4 linked regions of the Lepisosteus oculatus genome follow. The protein of the gene in region 2 interacts with the protein of the main gene of each other region in a pairwise test. Links are inferred from orthologs where the notes say so. Each region holds a gene or a part of one and is shown on either strand. Other genes may lie near its edges.

Region 1 (7,075 bases), on a different chromosome or scaffold from region 2:
TCATCTCTTTTCTCACCTCTTCCTCACTTTGATCCCCAGGTACATCTGACAGCAAACTGCAATTGGAGCTCTGGGGTTGTACAGTGTTTAAACTGCATTCCTATTATGTAAGGCGATTTCCACCTACTGGGGTGTAAAAAAAGTCTGTACAAGTACTGCAGTGCGCAGACAGGAGTGAGACGGGGGAGTGTGTACCGGTATAGCAGTGTAGAGACAGGAGTGAGACAGGGGGAGAGTGTACCAGTATCTCAGTGCGCAGACAGGAGTGAGACGGGGGAGTGTGTACCGGTATCTCAGTGCGCAGACAGGAGTGAGACGGGGGAGTGTGTACCAGTATCTCAGTGCGCAGACAGGAGTGAGACGGGGGAGTGTGTACCAGTATCTCAGTGCGCAGACAGGAGTGAGACGGGGGAGTGTGTACCGGTATCTCAGTGCGCAGACAGGAGTGAGACGGGGGGGTGTGTACCGGTATCTCAGTGCGCAGACAGGAGTGAGACGGGGGGGTGTGTACCGGTATCTCAGTGCGCAGACAGGAGTGAGACGGGGGAGTGTGTACCGGTATCTCAGTGCGCGGACAGGAGTGAGACGGGGGAGTGTGTACCGGTATCTCAGTGCGCGGACAGGAGTAAGACGGGGGAGTGTGTACCAGTATCTCAGTGCGCAGACAGGAGTGAGCCTGAGGGCTGCTGTAGTAATCAGCCCCGTCCTTCAGCTGCTGCTGGATGAACCTGCGGTAGCCCTCGGGGCTGCTCTCTGACAGGTCGTCCAGCAGGGACCAGAGCTGGCTGACCTGCTGCAGCACGGCCTGCTGGGAGCACGGAGCCGCCATGCCGCGCCTGTGGGGGAAACGGACACAGGTGACCCTTCTTCTTCTAGAGGGAATTGGTACTGGGCAGACACACAATTTCATCACATGAAAACTTAATAAGCACATGTTCAGTCAAAAAAATATATATCTAGTTCTCTTCCAAGATATCACACTGTCATTCCTGAATCTAGCACAGTGCAGTCCATAAGTATTTGGACAGTGACAGAATATTTGTTGTTTTGGCTCTGTATTCCAGCACATTGGATTTGAAACGAAACAATGACTATGAGGTTAAAGTGCAGAATGTCAGCTTTAATTGAAGAATATTTACATCTATATTGGGTGTAACATATAGGAATCACAGCCCCTTTTATACATAGTCCTCCCATTCTAGGGGACCAAAAGGAATTGGACAACTGGCTGCTCAGTTGTTTCTTGGCCAGCTGTGTGTCGTTGCATCGTTAGTTCCTGCACAAGAGAGCTAAGAAAAGGTCTGGAGTTCATTCTTCGTGTGACACTTGCGTCTGGAGTCTGTTGCTGTTGTCTCTCAACATGAGGAACAAAAAAGAGTCAATGTCATTAACACAGCAATCATGAGGCTGAAAAATCAGAATAAATCAATCACATAGCCAGAAGGTGTATCAAAATCAACTGTTTGGTACATTAAGAAGCAAGAACGCACTGGTGAGCTTAGCATAGCAAACGACCTGGTAGACCAGAGAAGACCACAGTAGTGATGACAGAAGAATACTTTCAATCGTGAAGAAAAACCCCTTTTCGACTGTTGAACAGAGCAGGAACCTTCTCCAGGATGTAGGTATAGATGTGTCAAAAACTACCATAAAGAGAAGAATACACCAGCATAACCTCAGAGGGTTCACCACAAGATGCAAACCCCTGGTAAGAAAGGCCACAGAAAGGCAAGGTAACAGTTTGCTAAAAAGTACATAAAAAAAGCCTGTAGAGTTCTGGGACAAAGTCTTATGGACAGATAAGGCGAAGATTAACCTGTACCAGAGTGATGGGAAGAGGAAAATGTGGAAAAAAAAGGGAACAGCTCATGATCCAAAGCAGACCACCTCATCTGTGGAACATGGTGGAGGTAGTGTCCTGGATTGGACATGTGTGGCTGCCAGTGGACCTGGCTCACTTGTCTTTCTTGATGATGTGACTGCAGACGGCAGCAGCAGGAAGAATTCTGAAATGTACAGAAGCATCTTATCTGCTCAGATCCAACCAAATGCCTCAAAACTCATTGGATGGTGCTACACCTTGCAGCAGGACAATGACCCCAAACATACTGCTAAAGCAACTGTGGAGTTTTTCAGGGCCAAAAAGTGGAATGTTTTCGACTGGCCAAGTCAATCACATGACCTGAATCCCATTGAGCATGCATTTCACTTCCTGAAGACAAGACTGAAAGCAAAAAGCCCTGGAAACAAGCAGGAACTGAAGATGGCTGAATTACAGGCCTGGCAGAGCATCACCAGGGAAGATACCCAACGTCTGGTGATGTCTATGTGTTGCAGACGTCAGGCAGTCATCAATTGCAAAGGATTTGCAACCAAGTATTAAACATGACAATTTTATTTAAGATGATGTTAATGTGTCCAATTACTTTTAGTCCCTTGAAATGGGGGGGCTATGTATAAAAAGGGCTGTGATTCTTATACGGTTCACCCAATACAGACGTAAATATCTTTGAATTAAAGCTGACATTCTGCACTTTAACCCCATAGTCATTGTTTCATTTCAAATCCAACGTGCTGCAGTACAGAGCCAAAACAACAATACCCGTGTCACTGTCTTTGGACTGCACTGGAAATATATTTAGGCATGGAAATATTCCGACTTTATGAGGCTTTGCAAATATAAAATGTGTCTTAGACAGTGACTCCTTTGCAGCACCTTTCATGATATATACATATTATGAAGACGTATAACTCGGGATTTCCAATTAACTTCGATAATATATTGCCTATAATCATTAGGCTAATAAAAACAGAAAAGAAAAAAATAACAGTGAAAATAAAAATGCCGCAAGTCAATCACATTAATGTATTTTTTTTTTTATACAAACACACATTTGTCCTGCTCTAAAATGCTGCCTACCTTGGTGTGCGATATTTGGGTGAGATTTTCAAATCTTCCCACAGCCTCCCGTCTATGCCTTTCTGTTGTAGCTTCTCGGTAACTATAGAAACGCAGTCCGTCAATCCGTGTGGGAGCTCAGGCTGGAAATATTGGTTCCCACCTCGATTTACACTCTTCTGTCATGCAGTCTCTTTCAATGCCGAAATGGATGTATCCGCTTACATTATTCTCAGTTTACTCCTCCGATGTACCGCAGGGTGCTACCGTGTTTAATTGTTCCTAACTGCTATCTTATATCACTATATTTTATTAGCGAGGAAAACAGGATGGGACGTTTAAGCAATGACAACAACGTCCGGTGAAACAACAGAGAAGCGGAGGAAGTCAGTGGGATGAAATAACATGATTTGTTTTAAGGACAAAGAATTACTGTAACAAAAAGGTAAGATTTTAACAGCCTATTAACAAAATCAATTTATATGCACTATGTTGGTATTTTAATGGTATTCATCCTTCAGTCAACTGAAGCTGGCAGGCGGTATTAAAACGAAAATGGAACTCGGTACAATTTCCGCATTTAAAACAGAAAGACACGAATGAAAAGTTTGGGAATTCGCGATAACGGAGCCCCTCTTTTTCGTTTTACCAAACTGCTCCTGCTGAGCCTAAAAAGAGCCTGAAACAGCTTCTACAGGAGCTCGTCACACACGTGAAAAATGTGTGTGCGCTACTGCTGTCTCTTTGTTACTTAATTGTGTGGGAGCTCTCAGTGGGAACAGCTAGGCTTTCGCCTGCATGTCTCAACACGGGAATAAAGTCAACAGTTCCCTGTGCTTTTCCAGGAGCGAGCAGGGAATCAAACCGCTGTATTCATGAAGCAAATTGTTTACCACATTATACCAGTGGGCTATAGACTTGTGTTTTCCTGTAAAAGTAAAAATGAACGTCTTCAAAACCAGAGTCATGGGGGTTTGTGAGTATAGGAGGGTTTTGGGGTACCTTAAGCACTGCCAGTGCAGTTGGGCTGAGCCTTTCTGCCACGCTGAAGAGTTGTTGCTTTGAAAAGGGACTTTTAAGATTTTTCCAGCGTAGAGACATTTCAATAAACTCACAACAGTCCTCTTTGCGACCATCTTTAGAATATTCCTGGTTAGGCTAGGTGTCAGTTCTCCCAACAGATTCACGTTCAGCACATGTAATAGCAAATCTTGGAATTTTCATATGATAATCAGCTTCTGAGGTCTTGCGTGTGATGTCTGTTGTTCCAGCATGATGCTTGAAAACCTTTGCTGGCTGGTTGACCTGTATGAGCTCAGGTACTCAGCAGACGCCTGAATGTTTTGTGTTTTGATAGTGCTAATTTGTGAAAACCTGGGGCATGAAACTGAACTGTAACGACTGTACATTTGGGGTGCAAATTCAAAGTCCAGGGTCCTTGATTAAGAAATTTCTATCTTCTTGCATGTTAGCAAAAGAAGTTGCCCTGGCTAAGTGTATTTACATTTTTGTCTGTATAGGTTTGATCATGTCTCGTGTTCCTATGGGAAAGGTGCTTCTCCGAAATGTCATCCGTCACACAGATGCTCATAATAAGGTAAGCAGGAGTTCATCAGGTACTCCAGGTGCTACTAATCAGACTACATCAAGGGCGCACGCACACACACACATGCACACACGCACGACTTTAGAGATGTCAGTTAACCAGGACAGCATGGATTTGTTTATGAATGTGGAAACCGGAACACCACAGAAAACCCACCCAGACGGTACCCCAATCCAGAATCGTCCTCATCGCCAGCAGCCATATCACCCTGCAACTCACAACTGGCAGCCCCACTGAAGCTAAGCAGGTGTGAGCCGGGTCAGTACCTGGATGGGAGACCTCCTGGGGAAAAACTAAGGTTGCTGCTGGAAGAGGTGTTAGTGGGGCCAGCAGGGGGCGCTCACCCTGTGGACCATGTGGGTCCTAATGCCCCAGTATAGTGACGGGGACACTATACTGTAAACAGGCGCCGTCCTTCGGATGAAACGTAAAACCAGGGTCCTGACTCTCTGTGGTCATTAAAAATCCCAGGGCGTTTCTTGAAAAGAGTAGGGGTGTAACCCCGGCGTCCTGGCAAAATTTCCCATTGGCCTTTACCAATCGTGGCCTCCTAATAATCCCCTCTATGAATTGGCTACATTACTCTCTGCTCTCCTCCCCACTGAGAGCTGATGTGTGGGGAGCGTTCTGGCGCACTATGGCTGCCGTTGCATCATCCAGGTGGGGCTGCACACTGGTGGTGGAGGGGATCCCCATTACCTGTAAAGCGCTTTGAACTTGAACTTGAACTTTATTGCCATATGTAACCGGTACTGGTACAATGGAATTCTTACTTACAGAAAGAAGAGTGGAGTGTCCAGAAAAGCGCTATAAGCTTTTATAATAATAATAATTATTATAACTATAATAATAATTGTAAGCAATTATTATTACTCCAGTATTATTATTACTCCAATTATTATTACTCTTATGATTATAAGATCCTGCCAGATCCTGTCAGGCTGTGGTGCTGGTGATCGGGATTTGCCGAGCTGTAACCACACCTGCGTTTGTCTCCTTCTTTCCTGGTGGGGCAGATCCAGGAGGAGTCGGAGATGTGGAAGATGAGGGAGAAGGAGCGCCAGACGCTGGGTGATCATGCCAGATGGCATCGACGAAAGCTGGATCATGACCTGAGCAGGTTTGCATCCTCCTAAATAAGAGCTCTGTACAGCAGGCTGTGGTGTTCAATAGTGTTCTTAATCTTTCCTAGAAAGACAACCCTGCAGTATTATATAAGTTACAGGAAACCTAAAGTATTGTACTATAAATGGGGGGGAGTGTATAAAAAAGGAGCTGTCAAATTAAAATCCAAAAATCAGGTCCTGAAAACATAGCAAATTCTAATATCAATAATAATAACAACCCTGATTTTAAGGGAATACCGAGCATTACCAGCATGTGTGCTCTTAGCTTCTCCAACACAGCTTGGTAATAGAGTAAAAGGGGGGACCTTAATAAGACAAATATTTATGTTGTTATAGCTACACAAGCAAACAGCACATGGTCTTCATGGCTATATACAGCTATGTACAATACAGTGAGCTACCAGAGACCTGCCTTCAACCTGCATAGAAAATATAGAATTGCTTCCTTATATTCAAGACACAAAACAACTTAAAAAGGCAAATTCTATTTAATATCCTATTTAGCATTCTGTTTAACAAGGGTTCTGTCCAAGACTACATTACTGGGCTTAAAGAGATGCTAAATGAATGAGTTTTTTAAAACACTAACCAATGAGAGAGGCTTTTAGCCTATTGATTCTACAAATGGGGATCAGTAATAATTTACCTTCATGAAGATTTGAACAATGCATGGGGAGCTTTTTCTGAGAACTTGGACTGATTGATTTCTAAAAGTGTCCAGTGCCCTGGACAGGAGGTCCTGCAGGATGCTATCAGCACAGGCCAGGTTGTGTCGCTGTCTGCTGTTCAAAATCACTGACTCTGCATTCCTGCTTAGGGCGCACTCACACAGGATCTGGGTCTGGTTCCAGCTTTTCTGTTCCAGTTCCTGTTTTGAGACCCCTGCACGGTTCCCGATCCTTTGAAACTGGCCGTGCAGAGCTGCGAGGAGGAACGGTAATTTTGTGCTGTTTGGTGTGTCAGGGGCCGCATGCGCTGTGACGGCTTCGACGAGGAGGAGCTCCCCGGGGACGGGGGGGCGGCAACGGCGCAGAGCTCCGAGGGAGACGTCCGCGAGGCCCGCCACTGGACCAAGAAGCTGTACGAGTTCGAGGCCGGCGACCCCGACAGGTTGGTGTCTGGCCAGTCATCCGCGTTAAAACAGCTGACACTGACATGTCAGCGCAGGCGCATTGAGAAGGCTGATTCTCCTGATGCACAAACATTTTCTTACTACAGTAGCTGCAGCAGCTTGCAATGTAAATGGCATTCCTCATATTATCTGGGGTAACTGTTACCACTCTGACTAGTTCCTAGTCTGATCTAGTGTTCCTAGTGTTCATGGAATCCAGCTGTGTCCCTTATAGGTACATCTACTGTACATACAGGTTTGTGCAATTGCCTGTTTCCTAGCGCTGTGCTCAGTGATGTTGAACAACACGCTGCTGTCTGTTCCAGGTGGGG
Region 2 (8,013 bases):
ATATGAAATTCGCTCACGACAAACAGACCCCCTCAGGAACAGCCGAGAAAAAGGAAACTGTAGTTGTGTTGTCACCACATTTATACACTGCAACAGAGATCTTCCACCCTAACCTCAGCCATTCTTGTGCACAGGCTTACATTAAGACTAATAAAGATGTACAGAGAAAAGGATGTAAATTTCATCCTGAAGCCTGACAGTCTATAGTCACTGATCCTCAACACGTAACATGACAGACATTTGTTGTTCCCATTAACATAAAAAGGGAGCCCAGATTTTAACAACTTCCAAAGATAAAGAAAAAAGGATTATAAAAAAGCTTCAGCAAAATGCTTCCATTCAGTTTAAAACAATCTGATTTGGTCGCACGGTACAAAAACCTACAGATTTTGGGGACAGTGTTGAGAGCACGCATGAAGAACAATCCATGTTCATATAGGCAAGACCGCAGATGCTGATACACATCGATGTGCCATAAATTCTAAGACAAAATCTCCCAAAACCATTTCAATATTGTACACATAGCAATGGTCTACATATTTCATTCATTCTCACAAACATCAGCTATTTTTTCCCACACGAATCATTCAACATAGGTTTATCTTACAATTAAACGAATCAAAATGGCATCCCCACAGATCTCGGAAATATTCAGCTTCTTTGTGCCTCCATCTGTGTTCAGAAATATGTACGTGTGTTCTTGTGCACTTCAGAAAATCATAATTGTTTTTTGATCAAAAGCATATGTAATCCCAGAACGCCTTATTTAAAACCAACATTTCCCATGGAATAAATATTTGGCCTTTAACACTGGCTTCAATGGTAAATTCAATATCACATGTTTTAATACCATGGATTATTGTTAATACCGAGTCTGCAGACATGCTGATGTGGAACAAATTTCACCTCAAATGCTTAAATCCAAAATGATGCAGGAAACGAATAAGATGGAATAGAACTCGGCTAAAAACCCACTGTGAACACATTTTAAGGCACCTCCTTTTGGGCTGAGCAATGGTATTTAATTCAGTTGAGCCCCATCTTCCATGAGTCTATGAATGTGAATGCCCTTTGACTAAGATCACTTTCTTACGTGCACCAAACGAAGGTGCGGTACAGTATCGACACCAGCATTGTACGGTAGGGGAACATAGCTGTCTTTTCAAGGAGTGGCAGCTGACTACGGTTTTCCCATCTCCTTGACAAGACCTGGCCGCTATTCGATTGCGGATAGAATCTTTGTGTGATCGCCCGTGCAGTGCTGAGACACTCTGTATGTACAGTGTACAATGAATGGGCAGCCAGGTACTTTATGAATGGAAATGATCATGTGATCGCAGCACCTCCCTGAGCTGATATTTCTCACTGACTGTCAACAAGCACACGCAGCGATGAGCCCATTTATACACCCTGGATTTCCAAGGCGAAATAAAGCCCCAGTGTAAAAACGAAACTTCGGGACGTTAACAAGCAGGGTCCCCTTACATTTGCGCCACAAATTCGGTCGATTTTCGGTGCCGCTTCCTTCTTTTAACATTTTTTATGAATGAAGATTGTGGTATGCAAATGAGTGTGATTGAGAAAAAAATATGGCGTCTTCAGCTTTTTTGAGTCACTGACATTGCAGCAAGCAGAGACATTCTTATTGATAAAAAAAATCGACAATGAAAATAAATGCTCTAATATTATTATCCTTCTCATAAAAAGACTAACATCCCAAAATACATATTAGAAATCCCCGGAATCCAAAACGCCTATTAAATGCGAAATCTTTGGTAGGTGATTTTTCGAAACGTAAAATAGTGAAAGATTATATTTTAGACAGATTTAAAGGACAGGAACAAACGGAAGTTTCTGTTGTCGCAGTTAAATTTAGTTAAATTTTACCGCTCAGAAACGTTTTTTTTTTGCGGTCTTAATCAAGTCTCTATAAAACAAAATCAGCAAATAAGTATTAAATTATATTAGTACTCCCCGAAGCAAATCCAGCAAATCGCTCCGAAGCCTATATTAATACTGTAAAAGGAGTATTTAGCGAACCTGACGAGCTCTACAGATATTAATTGTAAATAAGACGATTAAAAACACCATAAATACCTACCATCTTATGTAAAATAGACATTCGATTTAACTATGTAATATCATCCATTTTCCAAGCGACACCGACAAATTGCATTGATAAGTGTATCATTTAGGGTGCTGTTTATGGTGTTGCATTTTTCTCTCTAGTATCCATGTGTTTTTTTTAAATTAAGTTAGCCACCTAGGTAGTCATCTTAAGCTATAGCCCAGCTATACTCCGGTACTAATGCTGTAGTATGAAGTCCTAAGCTACCCACTGAAACCAGCAATACAAAACCAAGAAATCGAAGAACATTTAACAATAACGCAAAAATAAAAACGCAAACTTACTCGTTGTTTGGATTTGCCGACTCCTCGCTCATTTTTTCTCACCGGGATCCGAATCCTAGCAGTAGCACCGACGACGTAGCCACGGTGAGAAAATTAGCCGCAAATATCACCATTTTCTTTCACACAAAAACGCCAGTTTATTTGGATAACAAAAAGAGGGTTCACAACATAAATTGCATCACAGCGCTGTGCAAGAAACCAAAAGCAACTAAATCGAGCAAGGGAAAAGCAATCGGGTGCTCTTCATATCTCTTCCTGCAGCAAAATCCGACCACCACAACATCAACATCTTCACCATCACCCTCAGCAACGATCAACTAACTCCAGCGCTTTAATAAAACCACAAAACGACAATTTTGGCACGTTATTGGTAGCAAATCCCTCGGCAACTCTGGACACCAGCACAGAGCAGGGCTGTAGGGTTGCTTCGTCGGTGTATAATTCCAACCTTCAGAACTGAAAAAAGTTAAGTTTCTTTTTCTCTTTTCTACAAAAACGAGGCGAAAGAAGCGCTAAAATTCAATGAGAAGTTACAACACATCTGCCTTCCTCGAACTCCATTTTCAACTCGACCGTGCACATAGGAAAACTGGGCGGAAGCGTTGACCTCAGCTCTTGGCTGGATCCTTCCGCGGTAATTTGACAAAATACAACAAAATGGATGTTTTCTGAGCACATTCAAGCCCGCGTGGGTTTTAATTCACACACAACTGAATTTTAAAAAAATAAATATTCGTCCCGTGAGGGTTTGTGGTCAGGCTGCGTTGTTTTCCCAAAGTTGCCACAAAATAGTCCGCGCACTTCCCAAAAGAAGTTGCCTCTCAGTCACATAGGAGTGCAGTGATACGTACAAAAGGGACGAGTCTGTGTGATAGCACGCATAGCAGAGCTGGATCTGCAAGGTTGAGTGTGTCAGGATAGCAATGCAATGCATTACAATTAACATCGCATAGCAGCATGGTATTAAAGCGCATTAAGCCAGATTTTGGTTAATATGTGATGCTTCGAGTTTGTACAACAAGATGGAGCTGCTTTGCTGAATTATATGTTACATTTGAAAGGATCGCAGAGAGACGTGTTGAGGAGAAGCATTTAGGAAACTGATTTAACACGTGGGATTACATCATATAACCATATGCAAGTGAAGAAGATTAATGAAATTCTGTCAAGGGGTCAGAGGTTCCAGTTTGACCGAAACCCGTGTAAAATAAATCGTCAAATCATGTGCTTCTCCAAAATGGCACATTTCGTATTAAGTGGTAAAGATAATGTTAGGATGCTGAATGACGGCCGCGAACTAGAGCATAATGAAATGCAGTTTGGGCTTCTGTTTTTTTAGAAAAGATTCACGTTTTTTCTTCGCAGAAGGGGTATTTAGACATTTTATCCTACCTCTATTGTTGATGTTTTTGGTAATGTTCAGGGGACAATGGTAAATATAAAAAAATAAGAGTTAAAAAGTCACTTATTTTACACATGACTCGTCAAAGACCTGTAATACACAATCTGCGAGAGGATACCTAAAGAAGGGATAAGGCAGGAGTTTGACAATTGGAAAGTCCTTAAACAGCCTAAACACAGAAACTAGTTTGAAAATACTTTAAGCATGGTATTCAACCCTGCGGAGCATAATTGTACTCTACCTTTCACTCTAACGATACATAATGTATTTTAAAGTTATGGGTGTAACAGCAAACAATGATAATTTCAATTTAGTTTGAATATTTTTGTTATAAGCACTGCTTTAGCATCTGGAATGACAATGAAATTACAGAAGAAACGGAGCTGTAGGTATGTGCAAACACGACATTGAGGTTTGTGAATTAATAATAGTTTTAATTACAGCTACATCATACTAACCTCTCCATAAACTGAACACTTTAAATGAGTTTCTAAACTGACAGTGGAATTAGCTTTCCAATCCCTTTTTAAGATGCAACCCAGTATTTGGACATGTGTGAAACCTGCATGATACATTAACTTTGATAAATGGCAACTAATTTCCAGTGCCACTTATATATTTATATATACTGTATATTTAACTTATATGAATATATTTTTCTGCTAGTAAAAAAAAAACTGAAACCTTAAAAATAGTCCCAAAAGGCACTTAATGGACTTTTGATTTTCATACAGGGTACAGGTTTTTGATTGAACAAAAATGCTGAGAATTGAATATAAAGGTCTTTCAGATTGCTTTCCCAATTCTACACCAAGAAATTTATTCCGAAAGGTCAAATACCATTTGGAATGCTACTTAATTATTGAAGAATGACATTGTAACTCATTTTCATTTAAAATAAAAATGATAATAAAACTGAAATTGCAGATTAGAATTTTATTCCTGCATAAAAATGTATATATTATAATGGTAGGTAGGTCCCTTTTCAGGCCATCAAGGCCTATGGGGGAATAGAGGTTGAGGGCCACCATTTTTCTTGACCATTTGACACTGGAAGTGGAGGTGATGTGGTCCACATCACACTCCAGGTGGCCTATTACCCCCAGAAGGATTGACCCCCCAGTACTGACTTGGAAAGCAGGTTGAGTAGACCTGGGAGCTGTCTGGAAGGAATCAGAGCAAGATACTGTATATCACTTGCCTCTACCTGGGATTGAACCCAGGACCTTCTAGTCAGAAGCTAGACACCCTTGCCATCTGAGCTACCACAACCCCTGTTAGAATGGTATTTACTATAAAATAACAGCATAACATAGATTCTAAAATGGGTTCTGTACTGAGAATTGCGCAAATTGTTTAACCGTCAGTGATATGCTCTCCAAATACAGATAAAAGTTATATAGACAGAGCTTTGAGTCTTTTGGAGTTACGCTGTAGTTTGAAAACAACTCAAGACGAATTCAGCTAGATTAGAATAAAAACGAGCTCAAATCTGATGCCTCTGCATTTGTTGCCATGGAAACTACTGTAAGCCTAATGGCTACGGTATTGGTAAAAAAAGTAATAAGCCTTAAAAAATAAACATATCCTCTGTGATACAAAGAATTAGAAGAATAAGTACCTTATTTTTTCAACTAAATATAAAAAAGAAAAAAAAACTGCCTTTTGTCCAAGATCTCACCCAGAACTTGTGTAAAATGTGTTCCGAGCAATCCAATGCAGACCGTGCCCACCTGATTCTCACTTGAAAATGACCCTCAGTATTTGCTTCACAAGGGTGAATATCTGCAGTGCTTTTACAGGAAGCATATGCACCAGGCCCTAAGGTAACTATGTGGGTATTCTGCTGTTTCTCATACTGCGCATTATACACTTTGTTTAAGAAGCAAAGGTGGGTGGTGCACACCCACTAATGCCCTATGAAATCATGCTCGGGTCAAGCTATCAGAGATGTAACGTGCCAGTAATGACATTTTGATGCTTTTAGCAAATGTTGTCAATTTCCCTGCCCTATGCAGCGTGGGGATGATGAAGATGATAAATAATAATAAAAATAATGAGCCCTATAGGCTGCAGTCAAAACACTTTGGAAGTGATGAAGATTTTATCTTTTAAGTGAGATCAATATGTGGACCAATGTTTAAGTTCTGTGTTTTGCAATGTACATTTAAAAACATTTTGAAAGTTGTTCTTTACCAATTCCAGAACAGCTTAGCCTTTTGATATCATGTCAATAAAATCAAGATCACTTCAAAGAATAAGTGGACTTTCAACTAACACAAATAATAATTCAGTATCGTATTGTTATGTGTATTCTTAACCATAAAGTACAACACAAATACAGTAGCTTCATACATTTTAGAGGTGCAATGGCTAAGGATGTATCTTTGTAATGTGTAACTTTACATTGTCTACAGTATATGTACAAAAATAGTGTACTTAATTTGTTGTCCCATATGGGAAATTTGGTTTGCAGTCAGGTAAAAGACATAGCACAATACAGGATACATTTAACACAAAATGAACCCATTAACAAATAAAAGACATACACGTATGATAAGAAACAAAAAATTTCAGTATATACAAAAAAATAAAATGTACAGTCAAGTGTTGCAAAAGATTTAGATATTAATGGATTTCTTTACTGTGCTAGATACCGAGATCTAACTGAATGATTCTCCCTGGTTGTCATAGTGACTGTAGCGTGTTATGTGTGAAGTTTCTTAGTCTTGATACATTCTTCGCCACAGCCTTATACAGTGACAACAGTAAAATATTCTCTTTATTCATACATTATTATGTATGAATGTTAGGTTCTTTGGTGGTGTGTGATTAAACCGCAGGTGTTCGTTTTTAAATGCATTTCAGTAACCATTCTTACTTTAACTTAAACAGAGGTAAAGATTCATAACATTGGAAATCTCAGTCCCAGTCCAGTTTACATGTGATGATGGTGGTTAACTTTAAGATCCTTGGAATGATGCTTGTATTGAAAAGAGACTTTTTAGGGGTGCCTAAAATCCCTTAGAGTACCACACAGTTATGTCTGCTGTAGCTACAGTACCATCTGTCACTGATACTGAACTGGACAAACGAGCTGTGTTCAGGCAGATTACATGCATTCTTTTACTGTATCACTGCCTTGTCCAGAGTGCGGACAGAGCAATGTCCTTTATACCTGATACAGAGTTTATGTTCAAAACACATACACTTATTCTGATGTTCACAGAAGTTAGAAGTGTACATGTCAAAGCATTTTAGCTTCTCTATTGAAAATAGACTTGTGAGGGAGAGAGGTAGGATTATGTAACCCCTATGCAGCTAGTAACTGTACTCACTACAAATTTATCCTTATTCATATTTTGGTCTTTCTCTAGTATTTTTTAAAATGGTAATCACCATATGTTCTTTTTATCTTGAGGCACTTTTTAACAATTTTAATCCTTTCCAGGAGGCAATAGTTAACTGGTACAGTATCTTATATGATGACATTAGAGTGAATACTGGATTTACTTTTTGAACTGATTTCTTTTACAGGGTTAGCTGTTGTAATGTAAACTTTTTGTTGTACTTTAAAATTCAATTTTAAATTTAAAATCCTAGACTTTCTAGAATTAGTTCCTTCAACATATTCCAAACACAACACCAAAATTAGTCTTTATCTGAATGTTTCCTAAACAGCTAATACTACCTGAACCATACATAATTATGGTGGTGTTCTCTTTGAAAGCATTGTGAAATCTTTTGTTCTTTTTATAGACGTGAATGTTCAGTTTCCACAATTAAGTGCCTTAAGATGGGAGACAAAAACCTTGCAATTACAAACACAAACCTACCTTATACTCAAAATACAAAAAAAATTCAGATTTTCTCCAGCTGACAAATATGCTAAGAGCAATAAATTTAAACTTTATTAGACTTAGTAATGTTTCAATTGCAAGGGTCTTATCTTAACCCACAAAGACAAACTCGCCTGTGTTTGGAAAAGCAAGTGTTAGCTTTAAGAGGGGAGAAATGCAAATGGCTGCACCTTGGACAAATTAATGACTCAGTTATGCAGTTTGGATTTTACATATCCTAAAGGACAAACTAGATAAATCAAAATAAAATTGAACCTCTTGTGTGTGTTCTTAATGTAAAGAAAGAATGCTAAGAAAAAATCAGAAGGATGCAACTGTAAGCCTGTTTTCTCAGAAACC
Region 3 (7,245 bases), on a different chromosome or scaffold from region 2:
AAAGCATTACAATTACAACGTTTTAAACAAAATGAACTCACTAACTATAAATAAGTTGGGATTCTAAATAAATGTATACTTGTTTCCCGTAAAATGTTTGAAGACCTACTTTTCTTATAAGTCTATGAGGCTTTTTTTTGTTGGGGGGATAGTGTATATGATGTCCATGCTTTAAGGTTCAAGTTATACATTCTGGAGTTCAAATGTAATCATTCACAATTTAAAACTGATTCTGAATTATTCTGAACTTAATTTCAGTTTCTGAAGCCTTTAAAAAAATAGAGCTTTACTGTACACGGTGGTACTCCAGTCCCTGGAGCAATAAAGTCCGGTCCCCGCCGTAACCTTCAGTAATATTATCGATTCAATTGTATTCTTGCTACGGGTCGTTTTTTAGCCGAAGGGGTCCTTAACGAAGGAAGACCCCTGGGAGCTGCTCCCTGGTCTACAAATGGTAGAGAACCGCTCATCTAGTCTACTTGCATTAATGTCAAGGTTTCGCACAGGTTCACAGCATGCAGCGTGTAAATAAATAAATATGTATGCACTGAAAAGAAAAAGACTCAAATCACCGTTCATCTATTAGAGTACGACAACAAGCAAAATAAATCACAAAACATGATTTTTTGTCTGTCATTGAATATGTGCGGGCGAACATTGGCTGAATCTCACGCCTGTTCAGGAAAAGAAGGAAGAACCGCAATGCTAGCTGCATCAAAAGAAAACCAGCATTTGGCGAAGAGCAACTTGTCTTCACAGCTTCAATGTGCGGTGCTTAGACGCCATCTGCAGGATAAATAGTCTCACACACGTTTTTAAACCGCTGGCGGGATTTCCATTTCTTGAAAAAAAAAAACGTCACAGAATCTTTAATGTCCCGTAACGGGTTACGAAACGAGCAGCGCCGTTAATATTTCTGCCAGAGCACATTCACCTTGTTAACATTGAACCCAAGAATTAAACAAATAATAGCAGTCCGGGTGTTATGGTTTCAGCATTTCAAGGCCAAATATGACACTATAAAATCAATTAAAATATAAGGATTTGCAAATTATAAGAGGCAACAGACTACACCTTAAAATATGAAACATTTAGGGATGTTTTTTAAAAGCCGGCAGAGAAAATCAAGAACTTCTTTGAATTGTGTTAACTTTCCTCTAGGGTTAAGCACTACATACTCAGTGTGATCAAAAAAAAACCTGAGACCAGAATTACTGATTTATAATCTCAGAGGTGGGTCCAGGAGTCATAAGAAAAAGACCAAAGGATTGTGTAAAAAAGGTGTTTGTTTACTTAATGTGCTCTTTGTTAAGAAAATACTTGTAAAAAAAAAGAGGTGAAAAAAGACATTCCATTGAAGAATGAACAAACTCCATCCTGTGTTACTATCGCACAGACTCAAAACTAGACTTAAACAGAATAACCTGCTACACCAGGAGTGTCCGTTCAATACTCCGATATCCTCCCTGGCACCAACTGATGGACAGGAAGGAAATTTCCATTTAAAGCAGAGATGAGTCAGGGTCTGAAACCCGTCACTGTTCCGACCACGGACAGATGCCCGTGTCGGGTCTTGTAGGAGACCCCATGCGATGTGGTAAGAGCTGGAGAAAACAGAAGACGTAGTATGGGAAAACACACAGGGGTTTAATAGTGCACAAAATAACAGTGACAGTCCGCGAGACAGTGAACGGGGGAGACAAAGAACCGCATCCAAATCCAAAAGGGTCCAAAGGCAGGTCAGGGCCCAGTCCGGGAGTCCATCAGCGAGTAATCCATCCTGGGACGCGACAAGGTTAAAATCCCCCGGGAAGGGGGAAAACACGAACAGACAAAACATGGAGATCCGAGGGTGATGTGGGCGAGATCCCCCAAACCCCGGGCTCAGGAAGCAGGAGGTGTCGGGGATGAGGCCTGTGCCCTCAGGAGACAGACGTAGGGTATCCTGGTGCCAGGCGGGCCTCGCGACGTGCTTAATACACATAATCGGGGGCGGAGCAGTGGCTCTGTGGCTAAGGATCTGCGCCTGTGGCTGGAAGGTTGCCGGTTCGAATCCCGTGACCGGCAGAGGAATCCTACTCTGTTGGGCCCCTGAGCAAGGCCCTTAACCCCAGGGGCGCTGTAAAATGGCTGACCTTGCGCTCTGACCCCGAGCTTCTCTCCCTGTCTGTGTGACTCATGGAGAGCAAGCTGGGGTATGCAAAAATTCCTAATGCAAGAAATTGTAAAGGGTTAATAACAAGGTACACCTGGGGAGTTAACGACAATGACAGGAATGATAACGTGAGTAATGGAGCGCCCTCTAGGGAGGGTTGTCGGGCCTGACAGTCACAGCGTGATGGAACAAACATAACGACTAGACTGTTGGATTCACAACAGATGAGACAGACACAAATCTACCCATACGTACATTGGTACGACACTGTAACGATACATTCCATATAAAAATACAAAGAAAGTGACTTTGTCAGGGGTTTTATGGCAACAAATTTTTACATTCCATATAAAAATACAAAGAAAGTGACTTTGTCAGGGGTTTTATGGCAACAGGTGAGTAAAAAAGGTGAAAAGGTTTGTGACAGACCTCAGAAGAGGTCTTGTGACGAGGGTGTGCACCAGTCCTTTGTCAGACTCGGCGGTATCATCAGACCCCTCCCAAGAAGATAAGCTTGCATTCACTGAAACAAGCTTTGCCTTTTAAATCCCCCTTAATCTGTTAATGTAATTTGCTTTGCGTATGTACCCATGGGCGCAGCCAGGAATGAGCATTTCTCCGTAGTTCACAGGTAATCAGTAAACATTGGACCAGTCATAGCATGACAAGTCCAGGACTGGATTATATTTACTGAGCCCCTGAGCCCTGCCACAACAGTAGGCAGCTGGTTTGGTTGGCTGGTCGGACTGGTTTGTCCCATTGGTTAGTTATCCCACCTCTAACCACTGACTTTCGTCCCACGCGCAAAGAACGTCACAATGAAGTCACTCTTTTATACATCTGGAGCTCAGCTCATTGACACATAAATCTGCTTAATGTGAATGATTGCTGCTCATTTTCTTCAAGGTGGATGGTGATAACTGCTAGTTCAAACCCAATCTCCCAAACCTACACGCTCTTGTGTATATAGTGAGGGCTGTAGTGTGATACACGTAGGAGCTTGGATTTCGACTATGATACTACGCTTCGGAGATCCCACTGGTTTTTTTTTCTCCATGTGTGTGTTGCAACAATTTTAGGCCTGTCTAATAGTGGGCCAGCACTGACGCAGTCTCTGTATGTCTACTGGGATAGCTTAAAATGTAAGGCAAAGTAACATCTCCAAAGTGTCTGCAGACCATTGAATAAAAAGCAACCTTGGATAATTAAGCATACTGTAAGATAAATGAAGGCATAATGTCTTCAAATTCTCACAATAAGCCAAGGGAAAACTTTGGCTCTTGAATAGGAGACCACAGATGTAAAAAACAATCTATTTAAATCAGCTTGGGTCATTACTTCAATGCTTACTACAATATGGTGCCGCATGTTGTATCATTTGTAATAACCACATCCAGACAGGTACTTCTTTTTTTTTTTACAACAACATTTCTTTATTAACCCTTTACAATTTCTTGCATTAAGAATTATCTTTTCGCATACCCCAGCTTACTCTCCATGAGACACACAGACAGGGAGAGAGCCTGGGGTCAGAGCGCAGGGTCAGCCATTGTACAGCACACCTGGAGCAGTTGGGGTTAAGGGCCTTGCTCAGGGGCCCAACAGAGTAGGATTCCTCTGCCAGCTGTGGGATTTGAACCGGCAACCTTCCAGCCACAGGCGCAGATCCTTAGCCACAGAGCCACCACAGGTACTTCTAGAGTGTTACATGGGACCCTCTAGGAAATTTGTACCTCGATTTCAATACCTCTGTTCAGCACTTTCCTGCTAGGCATATGTACAGTAGTTCAGGCTTTACAACTTCAGAAGATAAAGAGCTTTGGAGTCATATTTCAGGCATACTGTAACCATACAAAGATTAAACGTGGTTTTCATTCACATAGGTAATATCTGACACAACTAGAGAATAAATAATAAATAATTGCATTGTAAATCTCTGCACTGCAAAAGGGCGGTAGGTCCAGACAAGATGGAGATCCTGTGCATGAACTACATTTCCCAGAATGCTGTGTGGGGCGTGAGCTGCCGCCCTTATTTAAAAACACCGGAAATTGAAGCTCTGTTAAGGTGGTTTGATTTGTTGTTTGAATACTAAATACCATGTGAAACTTAGGAATTGGGAGTTTTTGAAGTGAGTATCTTTGGAAGACGTCAAAGAGTCTTTACTGCGAAAGCTGGTAAGCAGCTCAGTAGCCCGTTTATTGATAGAGGCTGAGGAAGTCTAGGCTTTCATTCTGTCTTGGTGGTTTTGCATTGTTTCCTCACAGTGTATTTATTTTGAAAGGCTGGTTTTGTACCTTGGGGCTTTGCTTTTGTGAGACCTGAAGATAAATTCGCTTTCTGCGACACCCCCAAACCGCAGGTGTGCCGCAGTATGGGCGGTAACACTTTCTGATTCCCTAAAAAGCGACTTTGAAAGGAAAAGACATTGTCCCAGCTTCAGGACAGTAAACATTACACATACACAGACGTATGCGACAAGGCATACGGCAGATCAACATTAATGCGTTTAACGTTGTACAATTATCTTTAAAAGGCTGCATATCACTAACGGGAACGTGCAGTAAGAAAACATAATTTTGTGGGTTTATTGATGCGCAAAAAGCCTTTATTCAGTATTGACTACAGACTCAGCATGCTGTGTTGGCTATACATTATATGCTTGCATGTCCCATAGTGTAAAGTATGACTCACAACTGTAAATACTCGTTGAAAGTAGCCGCATGTGACGGAATATATATTTTTATTTGTTTTTCTTCAACAAAGAACACCCAGGAAGTGCAGAATACAACTGCTAATGTTATTCTTCACTCCACTAGATGGAGGTACTGTAACTGTATTTATTACCTTCACAGCGTCTGTCCGCTATGATCAGAAGATGATCGTGTGCTTTGCTCCCACTCCTTGTCAGTCTGCTGGAAAATGATGTATACCATTATATTATATATTATATTTTTGTACCAGCTTGATACCAGCTCGTGTGTTCTTCTTACCTTCAGCAAAATGCTAATTATTTCGATCATATCCATCGAGAAATACGATGTGTGAAGTGTTAAAATGTGACGTTCGAACGTATTTCAATATATATATATAATTGCAATTTATTTGGCTTAAGTTAGAGGAAATCTCTAGTGAACATCCTCCTAGCAGCCTCTAGGCGCTTATATCACAGTATTTAAAGTGTTGCTGCACTTTAAAGGTTCCTTTACATTTGTATTTTGAAGTTTTATAGTCTTGCTCTTTTTAAAAAAAAAATACGAGACCTCCCAGCCTTAAAAGTAGGCTTTGCTTCGCTGGTCTGACACACAAACGTCCGAAACATTAGTCTTCATCTTAATGAGGGCAAGGGGTGGAAGACGGCGAAGGTTAGTTATAACGCTGGAACGTGTGAAATTAAGCGAGAAGGAAGTCGGGCAGGACACGGTGGGTTTAGTCTGGAAACCCCGGTGCCGGTACCGGTCGCAGCCGGGGGAGTTTGCGGTCTTTGCGGCGCGCGCGCTTCGTGCTCCCCTCCCTCTCGCGACGGAGTGACGTCATCAGGAGGGGGGTGTCTCGCATATTCTTCTTCACCACGCAGAGCAGCGAAGAGATACACGATAACGAGGAGCCCGCTTTCTCCAAGTCCAATTGGCCCGGGAGATTGTGAACAACAGTGTTGCTCTTTCCTTGACTGGGGTTTTTTTTTTTGTTTACCCAAGATTGCGTGTATGCAAGGCCGAAACCGAACAGAGTAAGTTTTCCTCTTCCACATCCACACATAAACATCTTTTTTTTGTTGTGTTTTTTTTTTTTACAACTCTTTGCTATGCGGGGAAATTGCGTGCGTGCGATGGGGGCTGGAGGGGTTAGGGAAGCCGCGACAGTTCTCAGTGGCAGACTCAGGGGAGAAAGTTGTGTTTTCCTTCTTTGAAGCGACCGCCCTCATCCGTTGTGCAGGGGAGAAGGCTGTGCAGAGCGAGTGTTGTGCAGTGAGCAGCCCGGAGAAAGTAAAGCGATCGGATTGTGCAGTTTATTTAAAGAGGCTAATCACAAAGACGAATCTTTGCATGACCCAGATTACATATTGTTTTTCCCCCCTCGGCAGCCACCTGCAGCCTGTGAAATAAAATCCAGTTTGCACGCAGATATGAACGCCTCTGCCGTTCCTCCTCGACTGCAGCAGTCTTTGCAATAAGTGATCGTGTCGGGGGTGTCCGGTTATGCGATACTGTCACAGTTAACTCACGGTACAGTGGATGCATTCAGTTCACTTCACTGCGTGTTACCCTAACTAAAGCCCCTGAATTAATTACCCTGTCTCTTAGATTTTGCGCGCTTACAAAACATGTTTTACTTCGTTAGATGCGTTTGATTGTAATATAACGCAGATATAGTTGCAAGATAATTGCAGATTAACTGCGTGCAATTAGTGTGAGTGGGAAGTGCCGTCGTCTTTTACATACATATGTTTTCCTAGTTGGGGGGAAAAAAAAACTGCCCCTTTCAACTTTAAAAAAAAAAGGGGGGTTTGTTACGCTTGAACACGTGACAAAGCGATCGGGTTAGATATTGCGGGTGGGGTGTAAAAGTTAAAGGCTGGAAATGGTGGAACCCGCGACAAATTCGCCTGCAGTGAACTGGTCCATAGAAGCGTTGGAACGGTCTGTAAATTATTCTATACACTGGTGTTGCACGCTGGACAGACCGCTGTTTAACAACTCCAGGTTGTTAAATGTGAACGGTTATACCAGGCACATTTCACCGTTAGTAATTCAATGAATTCGGACTTTTTACATTACGTGATGGGTGGGGATTGTGCCTCGTTAACATAGAGTTGCTGTGCGTTTTTGTTTTTATTCCTTTAAAAACTAATCTTAGGATGCAGTATATTCTAGGAGCCCTGCCAGTGATTTTATCGACATCATAAACGACATCATGACCTCATTGATTTAGGTCAAAGTCTCAGACCTTTGCTTTTTTTGATGTTCTGCCACACCCCATCGATCCATTTACTAACCGCTCGTATCCAGTGCAGGGTCACGGGGGCGCCGGTGCCTATCCCAGCAAGCAACAGGTGCAAGGCAGGGTACACCCTGACTGGGATGCCAGTC
Region 4 (7,665 bases), on a different chromosome or scaffold from region 2:
CATACCTAATCCCACAGACCTGTAAATCAACTTTATGTACAGGTATTCCTAATGAAAACTCTTTGACCCCCTCCAGCCAGGCTGGAGTCTACACCTTTTCTCAATGCTGTTCTTATAAACCTCTTAATCAGCCTAGGGGGCTGATCAATCACACACAGCCTATCACAAGCTCCTTTCCCTCCTGTAGAATGTAATGAGTACTAATTCATTCATAGCAGCTGTGTCTCATTCAACAGATTCTTCCAAAGAACAATTGGCTATCCTGACAATCATTTTCCAGATACAGCAGCTTGTGAATTTGTTGCAATCGTAGAATATTTAATTGTAATACGTTTATGATGCTTAGTATATATTTTAGAAAGCTCCTGTTATGACTGTACTCCTGCGGCGTCTCTCGGCTAGCAGTAACCCTGGGAAACTGTTATATTCTTACAGGGGCTCACGGTTTTCCAGGGCTTGTTTGTACTACCGAATCTCTTTCTAGTGAGCTGCCTTAATTAACATTGATCCAATTCATTATTAAATTTCTCTTTCTCAATTTAATGCCAAGGTGCCGCTTCCATGGTGCTTTATCATTATTCCTTTCACCGTCCTGTCTGCACTACAGTTTCCCAAAGTCCTGTACATCGGACAGATGCCTCAGCATCTCAACACCAGGATTCCTCTCCGAAGTCAAATTCCCATTCTCTCTCGGGGCTCGGCAACAGGATTCCACTCCAAGACCAAGATAACCAAGCGTCCTCCTTTTTTCTGGGAGCTTAGCACAGGACACCAGTCCTAAACTGCGGATGCCCTATTCCTGGTGATGGCCTGATTCGTCAGGCTTGAGATCTCGACGCCAACCACCCTCGTTTCTCGCTGCTGCAGCAGTCTTCTCTGACTCTAGGCCAGGATTTCAGGTCACCCTGCACTGCAGTGCTCCATTCTAGTCTGTTCTTACTCCAGTCCAGGACTTCACTCCAATCTGCACCACAGATCTTATACCTGCCTGAACGTCAGCTCCTGGCCTCTGCCCTGGAACCCTGGGCTCCTTTCCCCTGGCCTTCTTCTCCTGCGGTTCTGGCCCACTTCCAGGAGGCAGGGCTATTCCCTGAAGCCCCTTTTCCCTTTGCCTGGCAGAACCGTTCTAGTTCTCTCGAGTCCTGCCCTAGCACTTCAGTTTTTCTCCTTCCTTTTCTGTTCTTCACCCTTTCTCTTGGGCTGTCTGGGTAATTTATTTATCTTTTTCCAGTTTCCTTCTAGTGCCCCAGCAGAGCCTTTTGATCTTTTGTAGGGAGCCAGGCATCCTGATTCTGTCTGGTGCCTGCAGAGCATCACTCTGTTAGCCAGAGCTCCATGAGGATTCTTAGTTCTCAGGCTCTGACTGGGACAACTCCCCGCTGCTGTGCTGATCTGAGACTCTGAGAGTTGAGAGAAGAATGAGGTAGTGTCCCTTGCCTCACAAATGTCTCTCCCAGTTGGTCCAGAGGGGACCTGGGTATCTAATCCTGTTTGCACCCGGGTGCCTCTGTCAGAGAGTTGAACCCGGGAGACAGAGCTGACGGTGGACACCTGGCCTGGTCTCGAAGGAGGCCCTCCATAAGGGCATGCGCCATGATTTACCAGCTCCTGGGCCCTTTGACTGGACCATTGAGTGGGGGTGTCCTGCCTCACTGGTTTTGGTGAGACCCCTCCTCTCAGTAAAGCCTACAGACCAAAGCACAGCTAGGTTCTGAGGCGACTCCCTTTGTTTTCCCTGTTGTAGACTTGTGTTGACGTGTGTTGACCTGTGGGCTTGCCAGGCTGCATCCCTGGCTACTTAGAGGGCTGTTTCACAAAACTGAGAACCCTTCCATTTGAGGGCTTGGCGGTTGGTTCTGTTCCAGAGCCAAGGGTACCAGATCCTGGTCAGTGGGCTGAGCGGTTAAACTTGTGGCTGGCGCTTTGCTGTGCCAGCTCATCTTTTTAGTCACCAGGAATGCAGAGAACTGCCACTTTTGCCCCTCAAGAGCTTTCTTTAGTTGCTGACCAGCTGTGGCTATCCTTGCTCTGCTGGCCAGTTCTGTCTTAGAGTTTTCTGCTGTCTTTTTCCATTACTGACCGGCCTGGGCTGATTAAGCCCTGCCAGCCAGTAATCAATTATTCTATTGAATATTAATTAATCAATTATCACCTTTTTCGTTCCCAGTTCATTTTCTCTTTTCCTCTGTCCCGGAGCACTCGACCCCACAATCAGTGGGGTCTCTCTGGGTGTTCCTCCACTCTCGGTCACTTGTGCTTGGGTTCTGACAAATCACCACACTTGGCATTACAGCTACATGTAGGATTAACGATGAATAATGTTTAAGAATTTTCTATTATTAATATATTCTATACATAATTCGAGAGAAAGAAGAGGTAGAGAATGAGTTTGTTAAATCCTATAGAAACACAATGTGTAATGGATAAATCCAATAAGCATCTCTTTCTTGTCATGTTGGATCAATATCACCATTCCTCAGCGTAATTTGTTCGCTCAATACCGATGAATTTTAACAGACACAGAATGTGTAAACTCAGGATCTTTTCTTGAATAGTACCTTTGTGCTCACCATCCTATGTTTTCACTACACTGATTTTTAATTGTCTTTTAGATTTACCAAAATGCTGCATAGGACATTTAAAGACATACATCAACTCAGACACAGCATTCTTGGGGGCCTATTCTTAATTTGAAAGACTATACTAGTAGGTGGATGATAATCCACACACCTGAAGAAGCCTCCACATCCGAAACGTTGTGTTCTCTTTCTTCTTTTTTTCAGCATGGAATAAACCTATTACTTGTTCCTTTGCAGCCTACCCATGCTGATGCAGCTACCCACCTGAACTACAACCGCGGTGGATGATAATGTTTGTCGTACTGTATGTGTTATTACAAGCAGTTAAAACATAGAATATTACTTTTAGTCTCGATAATATAGAGTATTTAGACTGTAGTGTCTACACCACTGGTGAGGATGTGATATTTTGGTACTGTTCTTTCTGTTGAAAGTAAACTGTAGCATGGAAACAGCTGTCCATGGCTGCTAACGTCAATTTTCCTTTGGCGAAAAGGGAGGATGAAAAGTTGTGAGCCTCTCCTGTAGGGTTCTGATTGAATGAAAAGCTGATTAATATATACTGTGCACAATATATTATATTTTATAAATATAGGTTATTGTGCCTATGTTAATATCAATTAATCAACATGATAAATATCAATTGTTTAAATGGAAAATCAAGCTTATTTCAAAAACACGCCTTATTTTAATGGGGGTACAGGAACAGGAGGTTGTGACAAGGGTGCAAAAATCTCTGAATACAGAATGTATTACTAAGAAAAAAAACTCTTTTGCTTAACAATGTCTAGCATGGAACTGTAATAAATAATTACGAATTCAGACTCCACCTTAAACTCTGGCTGCCCTGCCTTGCAGAAGGCATATATTATAACCTCTTCAGTGTGGCAGTGCTCTGCAGTCTCAATTCAGCCTCTGTCCTTGCCCTTGTTTGCTTTGGGATTCCTGTCTGCACTGTGATTCATAGAGTACCCCACACCACACTAGCTGCATTCACAGCTTCTGTTTTTATCAGCACTAAGGAGCCTTATGCAAAGTGTGCTTGCCTGGGTTAATCAGAGCTCTCTGTTAACGGGAAAAATCCCCTGTGAATTCTCTTGAATCCCAACCCGTGTGTCAGGAGGCCTGCATCTACTCCTGCAGGATAAATAAACAGAGGCAGACTCAACTGTAACACTAGGCCTGTTCATGGATTAACTGGAACAGATTTTAGGCATTTTAGTGATGCTAGCGTGACATCAAACTTCACTCTATGTTTCTGTCTCCTTGCTGAAGCTCAGCCCTGAAAGTCATTTTAAATTATTTTTGAACAATGTTGCATTTTAACCCTTACATCTAAAACCTAAATATTTTTAGGTTTAAGGTCAGTAGAATGATAAGGGTTATTCACAGTGATAGAAGTTGCAGAGATCTGTCTATTATAAAGCCTGTTTGAAACTAATTCTTTTTATATCAGCACTGACATATCAGACTCCATGAGCTAATGTATGGCCTCAGAAATAGTTTTCCATGTAAAATCAATGTAACACACAGTTTGTTTTTCACTTGCAAGATTCCAGTGTCAATGGAGTTGAAAACAAAACTTCTCAGTTTTAAACCTTGCAGTGCATGACAATGAAGAAAACATCCAAAACTAAAACTACAAATCCATACCTATGATACTACTTATTTCCTTTGCAGTGGGCATGCATAAAAATATTCTTGTGCTTACAAATACGGTCCAGCATGGCAAATTCATTCTTTCTTCCACGCATTCTTTTTTCAGATATGTTACAAATAGTGACAATTGCATTATGAGCAAAACACGTTGGAACTGCTGTGGAACTCTGAAACTCATTAGGCAGACATGAGTCACAGTGAGTCCTAGAAAAGCTATGTGTTTTTTTTACTAATTTGTACGACAGGAAAGGGCTAAAATTTGGTGGCTAATGCTACAAAATATCATCTTTTCTGCTCCCAGCTGCTGAAATGAGAGGGAGGGCGGTAGCCAGGAGTACCCAATCTAAATCATTGAAAGTTTCTGGCAAAGAGTTCAGAAAACTGTGCTGAGCAGCAAAGCTGGTTTGTTGAGCTCTAACACATAGTATTTCAGCACCTAAACCCAGAACTAGTGTATATGAATTTCCTTTTTGGGAATGATTCGGAACTGAAACAGATCAAAACTCTTTTCTCCCTGAAGACGTAAGGTGAATCAGAATTATGAAAAAAGATGACCAGATTTGGTAAGTAACAGATCTTTTTTTAATATATTGCAGATTACATAAAAATGATACTGCCTTTTTTTAGGGTCATTTAGAAACAGTTTCTAATGGTGAACTGAAATGTAAATGGCACTTTAAACACCAGAATCAACCATATAGACAGAGGTGCTTAGTAGAGACCTACTTAAAAAAATAACTTGCTGGAAATTATACAATTAATGCACAATCCCAGATGGAGAGAGAGACCTCTGGCATAATGCACCATGCTTTTATTTATTACTTTTTTGTGCACGTTCTTCAAGAGACCAGTTGTGGGCCTCAGCTTTGCAGTATATTTCAGATGCAAACATCTGTATGGATGAAATCAGGCTTTATGCCAATAATTTAAAACCCAGAACAGTCACTGCCTCAAACACATTGTATTTATTTTGGTAAGGGAAGGAGAAAAAATAAATGCAAATAGAAATTCCAAAAATAAATTCCTTCAATTCAGATTAACAGTATAAAGCAAGATCATTTGTGTTTGTAATAATATATGAAATGTATTACCTATTTAAAAATAAATCCATAAGGTGCTGTTTAATAATAGTTAAAAAAAATGTAAGAACCATGTAACAGTACAGTTTCAATCTTAAAGGTGAACTTGCTGAAATGAGGTTTGAACATTTAAAGAAACAAAATGTTTTAAAATTGTTTTAAGTGTTTTAAACTCACAGGTTTAAACGTTAAGCTGCACATACAAATTACAGGCTTTATGTATACATTTATTTTAGGTTTTGTTGAAAACGAAAAAGTAAAATAAATAAAAACGGAAATACCTGTGAAGCTGCTTCATGTTAGTGGCATATATTAAAGAAGAGAATGCAAAATCTCTGGACACAGTTGTTTGGTTGCTCTCAACCAGCTCTCAGCTCTCAGTCAGGGCTCATGCTCAAGGACAGCCAGTATCTTTCATGAGTGAGTGAAGTCCAGTGGTGATCACTTCACACTACAGTCATGAGTAAAATCATTACCACTGTCAGTATTATTCAGAGTATTTCAGATTCCTTCAGAGTTCTTCAGATTCAGAGACAGTTTCTTCCCACAAACTGTCAGATTAATGAACTCTACCCCTACCTCTGGCTCACACTGATATATTTTTAAGTTGTATGTTATTTAACTTGTTGCTGCTGCTGCTGTTCTGTGATATGTTTTTGGTGATTCCCTTAATGTCTTCGTATTGGAGCACACAAATAAGCATACAGTATAACATATAAACTGAACTGAATTATTAAAGGTTTTTCCTAAAAAACTGGTACGGAGATTTTTAAATGCCTTTTTTGCACTATTTTATATCTTATGCATAATTAAACAAACACGCATCCACTAAAATCCAGGGAGTGTTATTTATAATGGTATTTAGGTCTGTGGCTATCAAGATGTGCTAGAAATGATTAACATGTATTTGATATGTTAACACACTCGAGTATTTCAGAACTATATACAGGGTTAGTCAAAATGATGTAGACAACTTTGACAGTTTATTACAAATTAATTACATGGGTTACTGTGACAAAAAAGGTTTCAAATGAAAGCATACAAATCAAGGTTTCTAACAGTTACCTTACATCTGTGGAGGAGAAAACAAAACTTTAGTAAAATAATTGGCATTTATACTTGTCGACAACATTTTGACTAACCCTGTATATTATGTACAATAGGGAAATGTTTTGAGATTACAGAGAATTGCTTCTTCTTCTTAAGCACAAATAACTTTTAAGTAATGATTATTTAGAGAGCAGTGACATACAGTATTATACCTAGCCTATTGAAATATAAAATCACATACTGTAGCTCCAAATTGTCTGATTAACCCAGATATTCACATTACTGCAAAATGTGAGTCTCTACTGCAAATGTGCATTACTGGAGTGGCTTTTTGACTTCAGAGGAGTGTTTACAAACCAGGTCCTGAACCTGCAGAGTAGAAAATGTACATTCCCGTCAAACAATTTGACTCCGAGAATTTTTTTCTTTTCAACGTTTCAAAAAACAACAAAATCAAATGTCTAAGTCATTCCGTCAGTTTCGTTTGGTAATCCTTTTGCATTTTTGATACAGAGTTAAATCAATCTTGCCCTCTGTCTGTGGCAGGAATATTGGATTAAAGAATAGGCTCCAGATCAGAGGGGCAACCACAGAGCTCCTACACAGCTGTCACTCTCCACCACCCCATCCATTAAAACATACATAAAATAAAAAAATCAACTCCTTATAGAAACTGAAAATAAATCACTGGGTCTTTAAATTTTTGCAGCACTGCTCTTGCTTCCAATTTTAAGATCCAGTTCTCCTTATAAACTAAGTTTTACTTGACTCTTGATTGCCAGCTCCTCAGTGCTGCTAACGGCGAAAAATGTGTTTTCTGTGTTCTTTCCTTCCAAGTCTTGGCTAAGGTTTGAAAAGACACAATATTACTGCTCTGTGCCATTACATCAACATATGAGTAGCAAATTTCAAAGGAAAGTCGGAGTCACACTGCAGTAATTACAGGAATTAATGTGCATGCTTTTTTATTTTGAGAAGTCAACAGTGAAGCAAACTCCATTTACAGAATGATGGATAACTATAAGCAAAAGCATAAGTAGAATTATAAATAACACCAGTGTAGTTTCCTTTGCTTGAAAGGAGATGGGCCTGTATAGTATAAGGGTTTGGTGTGCCAGGCAGCTTGTGTGGAAACATGAGATAAAGGGAAGCAGGGAACACTTCCTGCAGGACCTAGTAATTACACTACATCTCACAACACTGCTGCATATGGAAATATGGTACTGTATATATCAGTGATCGTCACTTCTGCCCAATATGAATATAAACTTCTGATTGTAATTCAACCTCAGCAGTTA

What was found.
Region 1: the proteins of spred1 (region 2) and PIH1 domain-containing protein 2 interact in binary tests that used the Homo sapiens proteins (3 or more experiments, as listed by UniProt). The link is inferred for Lepisosteus oculatus from reciprocal best matches to the Homo sapiens genes SPRED1 and PIH1D2.
Region 3: the proteins of spred1 (region 2) and ncaldb interact in binary tests that used the Homo sapiens proteins (3 or more experiments, as listed by UniProt). The link is inferred for Lepisosteus oculatus from reciprocal best matches to the Homo sapiens genes SPRED1 and NCALD.
Region 4: the proteins of spred1 (region 2) and il16 interact in binary tests that used the Homo sapiens proteins (3 or more experiments, as listed by UniProt). The link is inferred for Lepisosteus oculatus from reciprocal best matches to the Homo sapiens genes SPRED1 and IL16.

The regions. Positions count from the first base shown.
Region 1 is NC_090718.1:15,289,141-15,296,215, reverse strand, and holds the start of PIH1 domain-containing protein 2, read right to left. Parts: upstream 3,009-7,075; 5' UTR 2,921-3,008; intron 837-2,920; 5' UTR 830-836; coding exon 647-829; intron 1-646. Other genes in the region: uncharacterized protein NKAPD1, read left to right, coding at 4,209-4,218, 4,420-4,496, 5,522-5,625, 6,596-6,742, 7,070-7,075.
Region 2 is NC_090703.1:14,754,031-14,762,043, reverse strand, and holds the start of spred1 (sprouty-related, EVH1 domain-containing protein 1), read right to left. Parts: upstream 3,017-8,013; 5' UTR 2,445-3,016; coding exon 2,413-2,444; intron 1-2,412. UniProt on the Homo sapiens protein: Tyrosine kinase substrate that inhibits growth-factor-mediated activation of MAP kinase. Negatively regulates hematopoiesis of bone marrow.
Region 3 is NC_090705.1:9,133,188-9,140,432, reverse strand, and holds the start of ncaldb (neurocalcin-delta B), read left to right. Parts: upstream 1-4,245; 5' UTR 4,246-4,332; intron 4,333-5,705; exon of another isoform or gene 5,706-5,885; intron 5,886-7,245. UniProt on the Homo sapiens protein: May be involved in the calcium-dependent regulation of rhodopsin phosphorylation. Binds three calcium ions.
Region 4 is NC_090700.1:42,407,432-42,415,096, forward strand, and holds the start of il16 (pro-interleukin-16), read left to right. Parts: upstream 1-4,645; 5' UTR 4,646-4,801; intron 4,802-7,665. UniProt on the Homo sapiens protein: Interleukin-16 stimulates a migratory response in CD4+ lymphocytes, monocytes, and eosinophils. Primes CD4+ T-cells for IL-2 and IL-15 responsiveness. Also induces T-lymphocyte expression of interleukin 2 receptor. Ligand for CD4.